Linked DNA regions of Drosophila melanogaster. The protein of the gene in region 1 interacts with the protein of each later gene in a pairwise test. Each region holds a gene or a part of one and is shown in the gene's direction. Other genes may lie near its edges.

What was found.
Region 2: the proteins of CG8745 (region 1) and CG6220 interact in a two-hybrid assay, tested with the Drosophila melanogaster proteins (one large-scale study listed by BioGRID).

The regions. Positions count from the first base shown.
Region 1 is NT_037436.4:13,858,384-13,870,647, reverse strand, and holds CG8745 (uncharacterized protein), read left to right. Parts: upstream 1-3,742; 5' UTR 3,743-3,956; coding exon 3,957-4,045; intron 4,046-5,212; coding exon 5,213-5,331; intron 5,332-8,494; coding exon 8,495-8,729; intron 8,730-8,849; coding exon 8,850-9,891; 3' UTR 9,892-10,621; downstream 10,622-12,264. Other genes in the region: Hml (hemolectin), read right to left, coding at 10,717-10,842, 10,900-11,156, 11,213-11,668, 11,730-11,942, 12,001-12,264.
Region 2 is NT_033778.4:13,688,762-13,697,603, reverse strand, and holds CG6220 (uncharacterized protein), read left to right. Parts: upstream 1-4,234; 5' UTR 4,235-4,328; coding exon 4,329-5,066; intron 5,067-5,302; coding exon 5,303-5,644; 3' UTR 5,645-5,897; downstream 5,898-8,842.

The DNA.
Region 1 (12,264 bases):
AAATGTAAAAAGCTATGAATATATATAAAATGAAGCAAGCAGTAGCTATGGCCACAAAAACACTCACACAACAACACTTACACCAGCACCCACTCAGAAATACTTAGCCCAAAAAGCGCATCAATTCTAAATTTTTAACCAAGATATCAAATTATATACCCGCAGTGTTGTTAGGTTAATCGACATTTTCGTCGACTGAAATTCTATCATATTTCTACAAATTTAATTATCGACAACATTTACAGTTCTGCGATTAAATCGATTAATTCGATCAATCTGACAACACCGCAAGGCATATCCCTGTTATTAGTACAACTTAAACTGCACACTGCACAATTTTTGAACGTTTGTTAAATGTTTTAAGGAGTAAAAGGCCGACACCAGGAAAATCCGCTGCAAAATTGTATTCTCCTCACCAACTAACCAAGAAAGGACCCTCGCACCCCAAAACAAACCGATCCCAAAACGCAACTCCAACCCAGAAAAATGGTAAACGAATTATGAAACTGCTAGGGCAGAAGGACATCTACGTCTGCTCTGCCACTAAAAAAAAAAATGCAAAAATAACATTTACGCTGTAGAGACAAGAAGAAATTAACGCTTAAAATTTGAGGTTGATTGGCATTAAGTAAAAAGTTAAACGATGTTGAAGCAGGAAGAGCCGAGCCGACAGGGCGCGATCACGAGCAAGTAAATTAAATTATATAACAACTTTAAACGGGCACGACGAACAACCAGCAAGTGCTTACTATAACTTCATACGTATTGTGTAAAATATTAGCAAAGAAAAAAATCCTTTTTATAGATCAAAAACAAAACAAAAAACCAACGTATTTTTCGCTCTCTATCCTTCACTTTCGATTAAACGATCTACCTATATCTGTCATCCACTCACTCAATCAGTCAATCAGTCGTTCAGTCAATCGTTTCGCCAAATTTGTTGATTTCGTTTGTTGTGTGTGATAGTGTTTGGATTATGAAATGAAACTTTTGCATGTCACAAGAGCAATTTGTTCGACCTAAGTCCCCAAGAAAGTTAACTTTGTGTCTAAATGATATGTATAGGGCATGGATTCTATGCTGGGCTTGTTTTAATCATCTCAAAACTCCAGAAGGAAAACTAATTCTCTGCTTAACTCTCTCTTATTAACTCTCTTTATGTATGTGTCTGTGTGGAAATTGAATACATATACAAAATTATTACAATTGAAATTGAATCGTTATATGAGGTATTGTACTTGTATTTTTGTTGACTATTATGTAATTAAACGCTTTACTGAATATCAGTTATGTACATTTTTTAGCTAAAACTAAAAATTAAAAACCAAATTCAAGCAAAGAAGCTTATGCTGTTACTTATTGTTAGTGAATTTACCACAAAAAAAAAAAAAGAAATGAAAAGAAAAGAAAATCGAACAAAAAACCAAACTCAAGTTAAATTTTCAAAAATTTATAGAAACAAAAAGAAATCATTTTGCAACGTTCATGCGTGAAGAAAAATATCAAGGGGATTGCCTTGTGGACGCACTTACGCCTTTGTATATTGCGATACATTTTGATGAGAAGGCTTATCTTAAACTTTGAGAACTACCAGATAAATATCTATTTAATATAACGTATACATGCATACAAGCAACATATAAACATATACCGAATATAAAACGTATGCTAAACTATATCTAAATTGTAAACGACAATGAGAAGCAATTTTAAGCAAAATGAAGAAAACCATTTCAATTTCAACTTCAATACCCCCCACATGAAAAAACACACACGGATGAAGTAAACCATTTATGTGAATTAATATGTATAGAACTATATATATATCTATGATTACAAACAGCAACAAGGCTATCTATATGCTATGCTAATGAAAGGGTAAACGGCATTTAAACTCATTCAACCAAAACATACAGAAACCGTATCACACGGAAAGAAATGAAAGCTTATAAATACCATATAGAAACGTATATGTACCATACCATATAGATCCACAACCATGTACCACGGAACTATCGTATCGTAAATAGCAATAGCTGTTAGTTATAGTCAATATGGATAGCTAAACTACCGAATAGCAAAGCCTCAACCGAAGCAAACTTGTTGTACGATTAAGATTGAGCTAGACTTTTAACCAGAGATAATCCAATTTGTAGATATATCGATATATCACATATAAAATGTATGATTGTGTATATTACCGGATAACAAAAGAACTCTTATGATTTCCAGGTCTCGCTTTTCAGTTGATCCTTATTATGAGAACCCCAACTAATATATATCAAATGCCCAAAAACCTTTAATGAATTCAGACCAGACCACAAAAACAACCAACAACCAACTACAACAAAAACAAACTGTGCCACCTAGTACATAACAAGAAATGGTTATATATCTGTATCTGCTATATAGACACTATAACACATACAATTCAACACGAACTTGTACTATACCTAGATATACTACATATATAGAGAGAGAAGGAAACATTCAATGCTCACTTTTATATTTTTTATCATACATCCTTGAATCGAGAAAGCTATTGAAAAGGACGCAGGACGAAGCACCGTAAGAACCACTGAACCACAAAACAATGCAAAACAAAAGAAATCGTACATAGGAAAATTCTCATACCCAAAGAACATATATTTATAGATAGTGTACAAGTTCTATATGCCTAGATATTTGTTCCATTGCTTTTTAGAGCCAATTTGCTTTGCTTGCGAGACAAAATCCCCTGGAAAAAAAAAACCAAAAAACGTACCTACATTCTATTCTGTTCTCCGATCCCATTCAAAATGACAATTAGGAAAGAAAACACCAGGCATAAACGCAAAAGATCGAGCTAAACTAGTGCTTAGTGTTTAATGATAAACAATTCCAATAAAAGTATTTCAGTTGTGTATATTGTAAAGAACAATTATAAATGAACAAATATAAAGTTAAACATTTAAAGAATAATTCAAAAATTTATTGAAACATTAATAAAATAATTGTATTTATCGAAATTAATACAAACCAATTTAAGGCATTAGCATAGCAAAAGATAACGGTATACATAAATTGAAATGAAAATGAACACAAAAAGCGCTGATTTAATATTATATTATTAATTATATTATTGCAAACAACAAAGTGAAAAACAAATGATATTGTCCTTGGTATTTACATATACATAAAGAAAACAGCAAAAAAAAAACAAAAGAAAAATAAAAAGAAAACGTTTTTTTATATAACCGACATAGATATTTTCGACCGCTGATCTGCGTGGCTTTGGATTGTTTGGGGCTATTACTTAAAGATACTTTTAGATTCTAGGAACTACATCAAACTCGAATTCGCTGGCTACACTTTCGTCTATTAATGGAGGATAAAAGATGTAACTTTCAATTCTAGCTAAAAGTACCATGATAGATTTATTTTCGAACTATTTTATTTTCTATTACATTTTACTACTAGTATTTATTTACTATTACGATTTTCTACTAGTATTTATTTACTATTGCAATTTACTGCTAGTATTTATTTACTATTACAATTTTCTACTAGTATTTATTTACTATTACAATTTTATACTATTATTTATTTACCATTACTATATAATTCAAATTATCGCGCCCAAATGGACTCTAATGCGATGAATAATCGACAAATCGATAGGCGCGAGCGAGTTCGAATTCGCAGAGAGAGATGGCAAGATATGCCGCTGTGTGTGTTTATAAGCGAGAACGAAACTTGCTTCGGCAACAATTTCAAACAAGACGTTAAAGGCGACCGTGCCTGCCAGCGACTGTCCAGGAGCACCGATTATCCTGCCAGGACTCCAGTCTCAACACACGGCTCAAAGCTAATTTAAATCAAGTCACTTGCCAGTTCTAAAAGTGCGCGCTTTTCTGCCGATTTTAAATAACTGAGTTAAAAAAAAAAACAAAATAAAATCAAAATATATCTTAAAAATGCCTTTCGCCCACGAGCAACTGAATCTGGTGGCCAGCGAGCAGCTGAGCAAAACGGAGACCATCAAGCTGCGCAACCAGCACATCGGGTAAGTGGCTTCCTTTCGTGGTCCTTACGCCGTTATCCTCGCTCGTATTCGTAATCCCTGGTCCGGGTCGTGAGCCTGCGACCTTGCCTTGAATTCGCTCTGGCTGTCAAGGTCAGGCGGCATCCCCCACTCGGCCCACTCATCGCCAGCCCTCTCTTTCGCTCGCATTGGACGGCTGGCCGCCCGATTTTCTTGTACTTTTGTATTTTTGGCACTGTTGCCAACAGCCGCCACCGCCACCCAAGGAAATAATATAACAAAAAAAGTGCACAAAAAAAAGCAGGAAAAAAGTCGTGCAACAGCGGCGCTTTTTTAGATTTGGGCCATATTGATTTTTTATCGCCTGACTGCATAAAAATATTTATAAAACCAATTTGGAAATTTTATAAAAATAAATTCAAAGGGCCTGCTAGGCAGAGTGTTCGCACTTGATAATCACGTTCAATATACATTTCACATTTGTTCTCGCTTACATATATATTGTAATCTAAATTGACTGAAAAATATCAATCCAAATTTTCCATTTTGTGGAATATTTTAAAAAAGAACAAAGGCTAGGTAGCTTGTGAAATGAATTACAAATTGCTAGCAATAAATCGAGAAATTCGAAAACAAAAGGGGCCTGTTTTTTATGACTCTGAACTTTTACAAAATACGTCAGTTCGGTTTTATCACTTTCATGTTTCCAAATTATTGGCGAACAATTATTGATTTACCATATTAAACTAAATATGGATCAGGCTAAATTCAAGTAGCTAATAATTATGATTTTCAAATGGTTAGGATGCAGTTCGGATCAAAGTGCATTTTTTGTCCCCATTAAATTGTTAGCAGCTGCGTTCCCGCTCTCTTTGTTTGCCTAAAGTCAACCCTAAAATGTTTATCAAACACAGCAAGACGCCTTGTTTTTGTCTAACAAACACAAACACAATAACCATTAAACACGGCAGTGGGAACAGTGATTATCTTGGTGATAATGAGTACTACTCACTACTCTGTCGTATATTTGTGAACTGTTGAAATAGGCCCCGGTTAATAGTATAACTATCGTCACATATACGTCTTTGCCTTTTACATTGTCTGGATTTTATGACTTCACTTAGCTTAGCTAGCAACTTTGCCATCCACCTAATTAACCTACTTAATAACTTGCATTTTTTTCTGCAGACAAGCCTGCCAGCTCTTCTATCGCTCTGATCCCCTGAAAATTGTGCGCGGTCAAGGTCAATATATGTTTGATGAGGAGGGCACCCGGTATCTGGACTGCATCAACAATGTAGCCCACGGTAAGTCAATCTATCAAAACTAAATTTGAAAAATATGTAAAAATTTGTAGGACTACAGAATGCGTAAGATCAATAGATCAAAAAACCAGCTCTTATATGTAATAGATCCTATTATTCATCTCGAAAATATTGTTAATTAGGTGAAAAGATGAAGAAAACGGTGGTGTAGGGCGCAGAAAATGATAATTTCGTCGCCATTTCTGCAATAAAAAATTGTTATAATAAAGTAGGGGTGCCATTAAGTACGTTGCTAGGTCATGTTTTGCGATTTTGGAACCGGGGCCTGATGACGATTATTTTGGACCTCCCGTCCGGACGTCGACACTTGGTCGTTGACGGATCCTATTTCTGTTTATGCTGATTAGCAGTGGCACACGCCCGTCAAATGGCCAATGTACGGATGCAAAGTGCATGTGGCACTGCGGCTATTTGGAGCGTTTGGCAACGCAAGTTCAAGGTTGAGTGCTCAACTAGATATATATAGATATAGAATGAGTGATTAACACAGCACTGCCATCAAGACAATCACAATAATAACAAATGGCCAGGGACCGCATTTGCGTAAAATATACAATACGTATTACGTACACATACATATATATGTATATATATATCACCGAGGGGGTCCCAGTCAAATCCAGACCATCCAAACCATATCAACTTATCAACAACGGTGGCCCAACGACAATAACAAAAAAACAACGAAGATTGACGTCGGCAACCAATTTGCCAATTTGCTGATTCTGGGATCTAGGTAGCTCACATTGTTTGCGTCTTGTTTGTAATTGTCCAAAACACTTCCTGCTACGGAAAATTTTCCATTTACAAGGTTTTGTTGGCAGCAATTTTCCTAGCCTAAAATCACTATTAATTATAACTTTATATGTGTAAAGTTATATTACATGCCCTTAAATAATACTTAAAACATATATAGTAATAAATAGTTATTTTCAGGGCTTTCTATTTCTGAAAAGCTGCCCTTCTATAAAATTAGTTTTTCCTTTTGTATTAACGCTTGCCGCACTGATAAGATGAGGCCATTGGCATTGCGAATGTACTGAATATAGATGAAATAGATTTGACAACCCAATGAGATTTGATAACGTCGACTGTAGCGCTTATTAATAGCTTTCCTTTTGGTTAATTGCCACCTAAGGGGGCTCATCAACAGGGTCGAAAACAATATTCCAATAAGGGTTATCATCGAAGGGTGCAAAAAGGTAAAGCTGTTTACAGTTCAGAGATAGTCAACTGATTGTGTTTGCACCATCAACTGATCAATAAATCAATCAATAGATGTTGTCCCTTTATATCAAAACACTTTCAAAAACTTGGTGATGGATATTGGGATTATTTATAGTGCTCCCCCATTTAATGACCCACTTAGACGGTTGCACATTTCGTAGACGATCGCAAAACTCAATCAACCTCGGAACAAGTCTTACGATCTTCATACGACTGATAGTTAGCCCTTTCACATTCAGAACGTAATATTGGGTCCGTGCAGAGGCACGTAACTTACGGCTATGCCCATAAGTCATCAATAACAAAGTGTGAAATCAGTCCTCAAGCAAACATGTAGCACTATAACCATGATAAGGTGGCGGGGGCACGTGTGGACGATCTGACGATCTGAATAACAAGTTGTTATGAAACTAGAAACCACGTTCCTCGTAATCTCGTGCTACTTTTTCCACTCCGGGTGTCCAACAGGCCGCAACATGTGAACGTCTCGTGCGAGTGGAAATGTACTCGAGATAGGCGGTCGGGCACAGTACGAAAAAAGGGGGCGGGGCTGCCCCGGGGTGAGCACACAAGGCGTACAGTCGTGCAGCCCATATGTCCGTACGTAGTCTAGTTTTTCAATATTTGTGCTCGTAGTGCCCCAACCCCACGAGATCTGAGCAATCAGCTGTGCCACTCAGCACACATTGCGAGTGGAAAATTCTGAGCAGATAGTCGGAAAAACACCCCGAGCCATGGGCCTGCGGGCTGTGAAAAGTCGTACAAACAGGCGATATAAAGAGAAGAGCAAGTGGAAGTGTAAGCATGTCATAGCGACCACTTGTAGATTGTCGACAATGTCGCGAAAAACTAAGAAAATTTGCTGATCGCGAAAGAGGAAAACAAGTGGGTGGGCTTGTTATGAATTATAGAAGATGAAGAGCATATTAATAATATTCATCACTTAAAGTATACGATCTAGAACGAGCCCTAACTGAAGTTTTTCAATATAGCTAGTGATGAAGTTATTTGAATACACATTGAGATATGCTTAGTAACGCTCTTTCAAAACAGTTTCTAAAAATGCTAGTTTTTCCCAGCATAACTGTACTTCTATTCCCTCGACATAATTAAAAACCAAAGTGCAGAGATTCCCCCATGGTCATTTCGATCATTCCAAACCTAATCAGCAAGCGTATGAAACAGAAACAGTCAGTCTATTATACACCATTTAATTTCATACCACTGATATGGAAACTAGAAACGTGAAGGCATCGCGTGAACTTCACGTGATACCTGCCTCGCAGAACACTACGTCTTATCGGGGGCGTGTGTGAGTCCAAGTCCAAATGATTCTAATGCGAGTACGAGACGAAATTAGAAACGCAATCGGAACGAGTAGTTGACCCCCAAACGTCGCAATCTGTCGCCGTCGACGGGAGCGGAGTGGTCCGGGTCCCGGGGCTTATCGCCCATCCGTCGGCGCCTACGGAATAGCGATACACTTACGGATGGCGACGCCGAGCCCAATGGATCCGGGCCTGTCTGAAAGCGTTTTATTTTCGGTATCGTGGCAGATTGCCCTGCTTATATGTGAAGCGCTGCACAAACGATCGGGCAAGCAAGTGGTTAGGGGAAAATCACGTGCGCGACTTGCCTAATTTTAGCCACACCCTCAGTACAAGCTTATCACTATTGGGTTGATCTATCTATAAATTTGATCTAATAATCTCGTTGGGTCAGTAGCGCTAATTGAAAGCTTTATTTTTGGGTTTATTTCTCCATCGTGAGTTAGCAATTTGATTAGTTAAAGAGGGTGCCTGGTATTCAGTTATACAATATGGTTATCTATTTTACTTTTATTAATACTTGCTAACAATTTAAATATATTTATTTAAAAACTATACAATAATTATAAATTTGACCTCAATCTTTGCAGTGGGTCATTGCCATCCGGAGGTGGTGCGAGCTGGAGCCCTGCAGATGGCCACCATCTCGACGAACAACCGCTTCCTCCACGACGAACTGGTCCAGTGTGCTCGCACGTTGACCAGCAAAATGCCGGAGCCTCTGTCCGTTTGCTTCTTCGTCAATTCCGGATCCGAGGCCAATGACCTGGCCCTTCGATTGGCCCGCAACTTTACTAAGCGTCAGGATGTTATCACTCTCGACCAGTAAGTTTCTTCTGTTTGATTCTAGAGATTAAATTTGCTTGAAAAAATGATTTTGGCTTGCTTAATATTTATTTTGAACACCTATGGAAAAATATGCTAATTTCTTTTATTTCGTTACAGTGCCTATCATGGTCATCTGCAGTCGGTGATGGAGGTGTCTCCATACAAATTTAACCAGCCCGGCGGCGAGGCCAAGCCCGACTACGTGCATGTGGCGCCGTGCCCGGACGTTTATGGCGGAAAGTTTACGGACAAGATGTATCCGGATGCTGACATGGGTGCCCTGTATGCTCAGCCCATCGAGGAGATCTGCCAGAAGCAGTTGGCCAAAGGACAGGGCGTCGCCGCCTTCATTGCCGAGAGTCTGCAGAGTTGCGGTGGACAGATTTTGCCACCAGCCGGATACTTCCAGGCAGTCTACGATGCGGTACGCTCTGCCGGAGGCGTTTGCATTGCTGACGAGGTTCAGGTGGGATTTGGACGCGTGGGCAGCCACTATTGGGCATTCGAGACCCAAAACGTAATCCCCGATATTGTGTGTGTGGCCAAGCCCATGGGCAATGGACATCCGGTGGGTGCGGTAGTTACCACTCCGGAAATCGCTCAGGCCTTCCATGCCACCGGAGTTGCTTACTTTAACACTTATGGCGGCAATCCGGTCTCCTGTGCGATCGCCAATGCAGTGATGCGCGTTATCGAGGAGGAGGGTCTGCAACAGAAGGCTCTTGTTTTGGGCGATTATCTTTTGGAGGAGTGCAATCGTCTGAAGCAAGAATTCGAGTGCATTGGCGATGTGCGAGGCGCTGGACTCTTCGTGGGCATAGAGCTGGTCCAGGATCGGAAGGAGCGTATTCCCGACAAGAAGGCTGCCCACTGGGTGGTCAACCGGATGAAGCAGCTCCACCGGGTGCTCGTTTCCTCCGACGGTCCCAACGATAACGTGATCAAGCTAAAGCCACCCATGTGCTTCAACCGGGAGAATGCAGATGAATTCCTGCTGGGATTCCGGGAGTGCTTGACCGCCGTGATGCAGGAGCGGCTGGCCAGTGCCACATCAGCCGCCATGGCTGCTACCAGTGGTGTCATTGCAACAGCCACTGAGACACTGGCCAACAAGACGAAACTCTTCGAGCGGCAGGATCGCCTTATCAAGTCCGTCTGAGGCAGTGCCTGCTGGTTGGCCAATGCCACCACCAACAACGTCTCTTCGCCCGGGCACAAAATAGCTTTAGCCACCAAGGATATTTAAATTATTCCATGATCCCCATGTCCGCTGTTCCCATAAAAAATTAGAAGTAATTCGCAAAATTTCCATTTTTTAGCTGTAGTATCAACATGTTTATTTGCTTAGAATTAGACCCACTTATCTGTAATCTACATTTATATTTTTACGCTGTATAATCATTATCCTCTTCGCCAATTATCTTCTAGTATCTAGAAACGTAGGGAGCCCAGAACGAATTTCTTGAATTGTTATATCCCCAACATCATGTATATATGAATTTATGAATATATTTAGTATATGTTACAAATGTTGTTAAAATGTTACGTATATTTTGTATAACTACAATGTTTTTTTCACGTAAATGTCAATTATGAAATTCGAAACTTCTGTGCGATTTCTCGACACAACATTTAATTTTTGGTAAATACTGTTTTGCTTGTCAAGAGGGGTGAGACTTTACTGATCACGTTGATCCGCCTAATTTTATAAACGATTACTTGCAAATATGATAGATGTAAGCAAAATGTAGAATATTTGTAGAATATTCTACCTTTTCTGGGTGTATGTGTATATAAAAACCCCGATGAGTATGCAAATGTTTGATGCGGCTAACGTTGAGTTACAAGTAGAGTTTTGTTGTGTGAATAAAAACATCTTATAGCAAATCAAATACAAACTACTTTAATTTTTTTAAAAATTTTATTTTTATGCTCGACATTCTTAAAACTAACGAAATGACTTTCTCAGACAACCAATAAGTTATTAATGTCTATGGTTGCCGAGTAATTGGAGTAGTGGAGACTGCGCATCCTGCTGCATTCGCACATCGATTGCAGAGTCCGAAAACTCTGAGCACGGCGAGCATCCGCAGTTGGAGGGCACCTCGTGCTGGAATAAGTATATCATTAAATACTTAATGGGAATTAAATAGAAAATGTGACAAACCTTCTGTGTAAATGTGTGACCATCATCGCAAATCATTTTCACGGAAATCGGATGATAGGATTTTATGCTGCAGCAAGTACAGAACTTCTCGTGCATGTCCGTGAGTGTATTGTACTTGGAACCAGAGGAGCAGGCACCCTCGCAGTCGGTGAAGCCCTGAATGGGATCGGCATTCACACATGTTCCATGTCCTTGCACAGGGAACTTGAGAATCTCCTTCGTACGCGACTCGGCCAAGGAAACGGGTAAACAAGATGCTACAAAGAACAAGGAATTAAGACGGTCCGGACCTGGGATCTAGGACTTTACTCACATTTGTCCTCCACCAATGGTTCCGACTTGCATCGTTTGCAGCAGCCATCTTGGTACAACAGGTGGGATAGGCAACTACCCACATCCGGACATACTTCTCTCGAGGTGGTAACCAAAAATTGGCCATCCTTCTTCAGGCAACTGTAGGTAGTGCAATTGTCCGCCGACTTCCAAAGTGCGTTGACTTCGTATAGTTTTTGCTCAAAGATGCACGAAGTCTGGACACACTTGCCACAGCATTTGGTTTTGTCCAAGTTCTGGTAGCTGAATCCTGGGGCGCAGTCAGTGAGACACTGTTCCAAAGTGCTGACAACCTGGGCATTGCCATCCGGACCATAGGAACATGTCTCCTGCTTGCAAACCTCCTTGGCATGGGTCCACTTATCACCCACTGTCTTGGTGAACTTTGTGGCTTCGTCGAGCTCATACTGAACAATGCACAGATCCTTGGGAGGTACTGAAAGTGAAGTGAGTATTTTTTAAAAGCGAATTTTCAATAACGAGGATATTTGCCCTACCACATGAGTGCTTGGAGCAGCACATTCCTGGCTCCTTGATGGTCTTTACTTCGTAGAATCGTTCTTGACAGTTAACAGGCGCCTTGGGGCAAGTCTCCGGCTTACACTCAATCTTCTGAGTGGGGCAGCAGCCTTCTTCTACATTCACAATGATCTCGCCTGGAAGCAGCTCCCGCAGCTCAATTATTTCGCACTGGTCCTTCGGTATGCACTCTGAGGAATATTATGGTTAAATAAACACTGTATATATAGGGGAGCTATAAAGCCTTACCGCATATGTACTGCGAACAACCATTGACATCCTTCTTTTCCTTTTTAAATTGTCCAGGACCGCAAATGGGCACTAGAGGAGCAAGGCACAGTTTGGATGGGTCCTTCGTCTCCGGGACACATCGATATCTAGGACAGCATTCATCCACGCTGACTATGGTCTCAGGTCTATAGCCTTCGGCGCAGATATTTTCCTCCACCTGGCACTTCTTTTCCACACACGTGGTCTTTCCTTTAGAATCACACTGACATTCGGTGCACTTAT
Region 2 (8,842 bases), on another chromosome or scaffold:
AACAGAGCGCATACATCAAACGACAGACAAACGCACACAGCTGCACGCTGCCACACACACTTGTGCACGTAATTGGCGGCAAAACAATTAGTAGCATTTTGCAGTTTACAGTTGCTGCACACACCATATAACCCTCTAAAATATTTTACACCAAACTGCACGTGAGTATACACTGGAAAATAGTGAGTAGTGTATGTTTTAAAATCTATAAAAAAAAAACATTGAATTCATATGTTTCCACTTTCGTATATACTATAAGTTTGAATGAGATTTACTTATTCCCTTACTTTACTGTTATAAAAACTTTGGTTTGTCGCAGCTTTATGATTTATTTTCCAGTGTAGGCAGCGGCAGGAGCTGCAACAAAAGCTGACGAGCTGACTAAGTGGCAAATGTGATGAGCTTTTGGCCAGAAGCGCAGACAGACAGACAGTCTGAGCTGAAGAACAGGTGGCAGGTGAGCTGGTAAGAGCCCGAAAAGCGTTGAAACTTTTGACACACTTGGCAATTGAAATGCATTTGAAGAGCAAAAAAGACCGCCCACTTTCCGTAATAAATTACGGTAATTTAGGGGAAGCGAGAGATACATCGGCATTAGCATACGTGCGCATATTGTTAAAGAGCGAAACGAAACGAGTCGAGTCAAAGGAAGCTGGCAATATGTGTGTCGCAATTTCCGTTTGAAGTGCACTTCCTGTCAGCCTGCAAATGTCATGCTAAACTGTGAGTCATAGGGACACTCGCAGGAAAAACCAACTTATAACTAAGAAAGTTATCATAGCTCATACCTCAATTGGCATATTTTATGTTTAATATGACAGAAATGTATACACTTTTCAGGGTAGCAATTCACTTCAGCATTTAAAGTGTGCACTAACCTCAACCATTCATATGATGTTAGCTGGTAATTTTTTTTTTTTAAGTGAATAAAACATTTTTTCTGAGTGCGTGAAGTTGCAGCTGCTCGTCAAGGTTGACTCGTTGATTGCCTGAACAAGTTCTGTTGAAAGGAAAGACTCAACTCAGCTCTGGCTTAATGGAAAAGTCCCTGGGAAGAATGCATACACGTGTGCCCCACTTATAAAGTCAGATGATTAAAGCTGGTGATATTCCAGCGCTTTAGAAAATCGATATAAATGTTCTGTCATAACCCATGGTAAAATAAATTTCAGAGTTTCCGCTTAATTTCGTGTGCTGGCATCCGTTCTCGGATTCAATTTTGTGGGGAAGTTGCAACAGCTGCTTGCAGTTGAAGAAAATCAAATTGAATAAAAAAGTTTCTCTCTGGCCAAGTGGCCCCTGCGGGCGGAAGTGCAAAGAGTTGGACCACATGGCGAATGCTTGATATTTCGCTTTCGCAAAGCGAGATGACAGGCAGCAACTGGCCACTTGAAGTGCAACTGTTGCACATCAAACAGCCATCAAAATGTGCAAACATGATGGAGAGACATCCAAGTGGACACGCCGGCAATGCCAACTGAAAGATACTAGAAACTTGATACAGATTGCAACTGCGGCTGCAGTAGTCGAGATGTTTTCCCTTTTTTTTTTCGAAAAACTTTGAAAAGGTTGGCGGACTCTGTGCTCCAGCATATGAGGTATGTGTGTGAGTGAACCCCAGCACAATCAAGCACACAAACAGACATCCAGTTCATATACGCCGTGCAGCCTGTCACTCACATTTCAAGTCCTCCCGACTTGGTCGGTATTCGCCGTGGGAAACAACTTGATCGGAACTCGGGGTCCTTTGCTGACAAAGGACAAAAAGGGGGTCACTGAAATTGATCAGCAGTGCCGACATTATTTGCCCACTTAACAGGCGTATTTCCATTCTCCATCGTACGGCTTCATTGCACCTTCAGCCGAAGCCAATCTCATTTCCATTAAATTGTCCTGGCCTGGCTTGAGCACATGAATCTGCTCCGAATGCGAAAACATAATGGAAATAATTCGCCAAGGAAAGTAATAAAGTCTCAGCCTTGGGAAGGAGCCAAGCAAACATATGAGCACAGGGAGAAATGACGGAGACACTTCTATATCAACTATTTATATTAAAACTTATTATATTAAATACTTGACTTTATTTGTGGAAGATAAGGGATTATAATTTGCATGCAGAAAAAAGAATAAAGAGACTGCCTTTATTATGTTGCTTATGTATTTTTTTTGCTCTGTGTACACACTAAATGCATGTGAACCTGGTTGTCTTGTGTGTGCGCTTGCATGTGTTTGTGTCTCAATGGCGCTTTATAGTTATGCTGTTGGTCCTCGTATTTGTTTAGTCCGGCATTTTATTTTTACTGTTTATAAGCTGACAAAATTGTTTTTCCCTTCTCTCGCAGCCTGCTCGTCCGCCGAGGGTCGTGTGCCGTAAACGGGCCAACGCTGCGGCTACGTATTAAAACGAGGGAGCCGCAAACAATAATTGGCCCTGGTTCGTTCGGGAGGGGAATTTTTGATGGCCTTGTCTTGTCACTGAGGCGAAATTAGTTGCCAGTTGGGATGTTGGGTGGGGCGATCGCCGAAGGCGAGTGAAACTCACTTTTTCCCATTTCCCTTCTGCCGGCTTTTCCTTGCTTTGATGCGATTCCATGCAGTTGGGTGCAAATCGCTGGCCAGCGATGATTTCATTTCCCCGCTGGCAGATGGTCTATGCGTGGTCGCATTCTTCTCTGATTAAATTTGAAGTTATGCACTCGCATCTCGTGTTCGCTCCGCTGATTCTTTGCAAAAAAGAATTGTGAATGGAAATTCTAAAAAGGGCATTCCCTATCTATGTCAGTAAGCCATTCTTTTCAATTTCAATTTTCCGCATTGTTTTCGGGTTTTTTCTGGTCATTCTGGTCGCTTTTTTTAAAGCTTCCCTCTCGCTACATGAAATATAAATCCGAAAAATGTGCCTGTCGTTCAAATACCGCCCATACCATAATGTATTTTTTTTTTCGCCATAATGCTATAAACTTAATTAGTGCTGAGCCGAATGAGCAATCAGATCATCCCGGCCATTCCCGTCGGTTTAATTAACACGCCAAAAGGCCGTAGACGTAAGGTGAGCCTTTCGGTTCATCGCGTTTTTTATGCCGCATTCTTAACGCGGCCGCGCCGAAAAAAAATGGAAAATATGCCGGGAAAAGGCAAGGCCCCGCCAGTTGGCAATACAATTTGCTGTGACAAATGCGGCCATAAACAAAAATGGCGACAACGATGCCGCTGCCGCAGCCGCCAATCCGCCATTCAGACATTTTCTAGTGCAGCGCCAGCGACAAAATGGCTGCCACAAGAGTCTGGATGAAAATTTCATTTCCCAAGCTGCGATGGCGATGGCGATGGCGATGGCAATGGCGGCGACCTTTCACGGTATTTATCACACGCGAAACGAAACCCGTCTACAATGCCACCCGCTCGTTTTCGTTTTTGGTAATGAAATTTCGCTTTAGCAATTACGGGCAACCCCTTCGGGCCATATACACATACATAAATACATATATAGCTGCGATAACTGGGGAATCCAGCCAGCTAATAGCTTTTGAGGCTAGCTGGCTCGCTGGCTGGAAGACTGGCTGACTCGATGGATGCATAAATTATGATGGGAACACGAGTGTCCTCCACCTCCCCATCACCCCTATTGCAGAAATCAATTTCAGGCTTCGGCGGCAAAACAAAGCGATGCTGTGGAAAAATGCAAGAAACAGCCGAGCGGAGGAAAACAGAAACAAAATTTATAAAAATATTTTCATGCCTTGCAGCTAAAATGTTATTAAAGTCAATAACATAAAGCCGGGACAATTCCTTTTGCCATGCTTTTACCAGGACGTGGGTGAGGGTGAAACTTTGTCAAATAAAAATAGCTTACAAATAAAAACAACTCGGGGCGGAAAAATAAAAAAAAAATATATAAATAGGAACGAAGAGGAGCGGGACGAACAACTGACCAAGGCAATGTAATAAAAATAAATAATGGCTTTGACAAAAAATAAACGATGGCAGCGAGAAAGTTTGAATATTTATGAGTTTTTTATGTGCCAACAAAGGAGGTGAGCCAAGAAAAATCGAGTTTGTACAGTGAAACTCATAACAAGGAGCAATTTGGCAATTTGAATTCATAGAATTTGACAGCATTTCATTTATCGAGCAACACGGTCATACTAATAGTATATGGCAATCGAAAATAGTTGGCTCTGAACTTTTAATCGTATCAAGTTTTAGTCATAAAATCATTTGCTGCAAGGTGTTGTCAGAATCGGAGTGCGTATCGTTAAAAAAAAAAATATATAAATTTTAACAAGCTCAAATTTGAGTGTGCGAATCAAGCGTGAAAAACAACCGAAATGGATCCTATTCTAAAGACCCTTACCGAGACCATGACCGTGGAGGCCATCGCAATCATCAAGGCCAAGCGCTTGGCGATGAAGCAGAGCGTCGATAAGAACGCCATGCAGATGAGGGCCCAGGAGCGGGAGAAGGGTCGTAATTTGGATAACATGCAAAAGGAACTGGGCAGGCGGGCCATGAAGCGGGAGCGACCGTGCCGCGTTTTCGAGGAGCAGCTGCTGGGCGAGAAGGAGATGACGACTGCTCAGGAATACCTCAAACTGGCTCACCATTCCATGATGCGTAGCTTGGACTCTACGGTGCCGGAATTATCACAGCTGGAAATGCCGCCCCCGCCGGAGATCATGACAGAGCCGCCTTGGCCAAAGACCAAGTACAATCGCTATGGCCAGGAGAAATTCCTCAAGGCACAGCAAGAGTTCGGCATAAATCCGCAGGGCAGCAACTTGGAGAATTGCGCGACTTTTCACGAAAGTCAAAAGGACAAGCGCAACCGATCTGTGAGTAGGGAAAGCATTGAAAGGTCGAGAAGCAACAGCAAGGATCGTCGCTCATCGAAGCTTTACGCACGAATGCCCATCATTGTGGTTCCGGATGCAATGACCAGCATGATCAGCCTGAACAATATCAAGACACTGCTCGAGGAGTTGCACTACGAGCCAGAGCGTAACGGCCGGCAGTCTAACCCTCCTGAGTGTCGGCCCAAGGAGGTCATAGTCGAGCATCGATTTCAGGTGGGTTAAAAAACTATAGTAGCTTGAAGTTTGTAAATTTACAGAGTTACTAAGTACGCTTCTCTTCGCTCTTCTACTTATTCCACTGATGCGGTGGAGAATAAGGAATTTTTCATTCTAAGTGCTTCGCTAATAGTTATGGCTAGCTGTATATGCCTTGGTATTGGTTGTTAGAATTTCTAATAAGTGCATGCCTGATCGATAGATTAATTACCTTTATGAAATGCAAATTTCAGAACGAGCTTGTTAGCTACCGGGTCATCGACAACGTGACCAACCTAACACCCGTCGAATGGGATCGGGTGGTCGCCGTGTTCGCCATGGGACCCAAGTGGCAATTCAAGGGCTGGCCGGATGGCGCTGACCCCGCCGCCATCTTCCACAAGGTCTGCGCCTTCCATCTGCACTTTAGGAATACGCCGATGTGCCCGGAGCTGACCAAGCTGCAGGTGCACTCACTGGCTCTCTCGCCCACCGAGCGCCATTCGGACAGCGGCATCATTATGGAGTTCTGGAACAGAGTGGACCGACACATGGCCGTCCATGCCCGTCAGTTTGCGTTTATCTGGCAAAAGTAGGGTTCTTGTGATTACATTCCCCCTGGCGCACATACATACATAGATGCCAGATAAGCAGGGAAATCAATAAGTGAAATTGAATAAGCCAGAACAAAGGACGAAGGACAAAGAGTGACAACACACACGCACACACACACACACACACACACACACACACACACACACACACACACACACACACACACACACACACACACACATGGGGCGTTGCTGCGTTAATAAAAATTGAGCGAAACGGGCGCATCAGAGAAATATATCACGTTTGTATAAAAATCATATAAAAACGTTGCGAAAACTGCAAACTTGGCAAGAAAATTAAGAGCACAAACAAGTTGGAAAATGGGGAAAATTCGGATGGTAGAGGCGGTCGGGAGCGGGGAAACTTGGCACGCGTGAGACAAAAGCTAAATGACACACAAAGGAGCAGTTGTGTGCGTGTGTAGCGCTGTACTTATGTAAGTCACTGTGCGTCCCACAAAACGTAAAGCTGTCAACGGCATTCAGCAGAGAGTGATGGTGAAAACAGAAAAATGGGGTGGCGATAAGAGCATGGGGCTCTATAAAAATCGCTGGGAAAATGACAATTTTTATGCACCACACCCACACATATACACACAGGGTAGAAAACACATGTGTGTGTCTAATGAAATAAACTAAGTGCCAAGGCATTTGCATGTGGGTGGTGGGGTTTTCGAGATGAAGCAATTGGCAGGCATTGCAGGCAAATGCACTAAGCGTTTTAACAGTAAAACAATAAATTTAGTTTCACGAAAGTCGATGAACTTGTGCTGTCTCATTCGCTACATATTTAGAAGACTGAAGGATAATTCACCTAGGTGCCAAAATAATCCAATAATCCAAGACTTTGCCAGCGCTTTAAATGGAAAAAATGAGAGTAAGTCCTTAATCTTTCAAAACAATTTAAAGTGGTTGCTTCATCCCAGTGCCTTTAGGTTTCCGTGTAAGTAGCTGTAGATTATTTACCAACTTACGCAACGCATACAAGAAAGCGGCAGGTCCTTTTCGTCCTTACCAATGCCAATCGTCCCGCCTCTGTGGGCGTGGTCGTGTGTGGACAAATCGAGTTTCGCCACCAATATTCAATTTTATAAATTGAAGCAAAGTGAAAGCGAAAAAAAGGCAATGTGAAAAAGAAATTGAGTTCGTGCTGGCAAAATGTATTAAGCTTACGTTTGGGAAAACTAAGTTTTCCACACGAGCCTGACTGACGTTGGGTTGATTCAAGCGATAACATTTTGGATTACATCATCGAGAGCTCGAGATGGTGAGGCATTGCAGTTAAGGAGATATCTTAAGATAACGTCTGCCCTATATTAAACGCATCTGTTTGCTAAAGTGGGCGTACAACTAATGCAAGGACAATAAATTAACAAAATGGGTTGGCAATAAATTGTCGAAATTTGCATTCGAAGAACCCACACAAAATCCTTTCGCTGCTCGGATTCAATTGCAATTGCCATCGACAAAGCCAAGCGAGTCTTCTCCTCAATTTCCCTCCAACGAATTGGACATAACTTAGCCCCAGTTGACAGTTGCTTTACTTTGCATTCCCAACTGATATAAATCCTCTGGCAGCGCTATTTTTCGGGATTAAACACACATTTTTTGCAGTTCGTAGTCAACAAGCTGGAGCCAATATTAATGAATTGACCACTTAACAAGATTCACTCCCCGAAAGAACTGAAAATTGAATCGATATCATCTGCTGGCATTACAGTTGGCTTACAACTGATTACACACTGACTCGTATAAGTTTATGTTCAAGTGTCCGTTTACCCACTCATGTGCCACGTATCTATACATGCATATATACGTATATACACGTATATATGCACCTTTATTCATATATAAATTCTCCTACTTACGGAAGGACAAAGTTTTTACTTCACACCCAAGCGAGATTCGAGAGTTGGTAGCTGAGAACCGAGAAGCACTTTGAGCGCCCATAAATCCCTCCGTGGCTGTGAAAAAAGAACAACAACCACCACTACTAAACTATGGCGAAAGTTTGCAGTTCAAATCAGTAAAAAGTCAACTTTAGCATCCGAAGAAGCCGAAGAAGGAGCAGGATGCCAGAGAGCCCTGCCCCAAACGCGTTAGCCATATGGCAGGCGAAGCCAAGTGGGAAAATCAACGAAAACAACGTGGCAATCGCACACAATCACACATGTCCGCATGGCGATGACAGTGGGGAAAAGCGCAGCGATGACAAGGACAACAAGGACGAGGTCCGCCATCTTGTTTTGCCCAGATCGACCCAGAGCATGTCAATTGAAAGGCGGCGTTGAATGCATTTCCGGTTCCGCTGCACTTTGTTTTGCTTCTCTTTTTTGGTAGCCGAACAAGTTGGAGAAATGTAAATCTAATTTCGAATTAATATTCATGCCTTGAATTCTCTTATAGGGAAATCCACAAAGTTTAACCTCCTCGCATGGTTGACTTGTTGGGCGTAAATATTATATATCCTGGATATGTTGTGCGAATGCAAATAAATTTATTTATTGCTTAATGAAATGCGATACTACTGCAGGTGTATAAAAGGAAGGAGTATCATATTATTGGCAAAGGAAAAAGGTAAAAGCTTGTTAATTGCAGGAAATATTATCCAAGTGGCTGGCTGGCACGTTGCCTTTATTTGCATTGCATGTGGCAGGTGGGGCAGTTTCCTAGTGGCAGTGGCATCACCCACACACCCATGCAAACATACATCCGGCCGGGAAATCCGATTTCCATGGGTAAACGTGGCTGCTCAACGGCGGTCAGCGTTTGCCTTGGTGCGCCCAACTTTTCCAACTTGTGCCAATCAAACAAGTTCAATAACGGTAATTAACAGTCCAACGCAAATGCAGTTGCACTTGCTACTGCAATACCAGTGGCAAAAAGGCGATGGGTGGGTTGCACTGCCTGCAATTTGCAAAAAGTTCAAAGCTATTAGCATGTCGATGCCTCAACCTGAGCGGATGTCCATGTCCTCTCACCGACTGCCGTTTTCCAGCGACAGAAGTTTTCCCCATCCCCAACCCGGCCTAATGGTGGAACTGCCCGCCATCAGTTGAAGGCTATTAGCCATGGTATGGGAATGGAATGGGAAAAACCCGGCTGTCGTGGGGCGGAAAACGGCGACAGGCAGTCAGTTTTGCCATTTAGCCCAGCACGCCGGCATTGTCCCACTGTAAA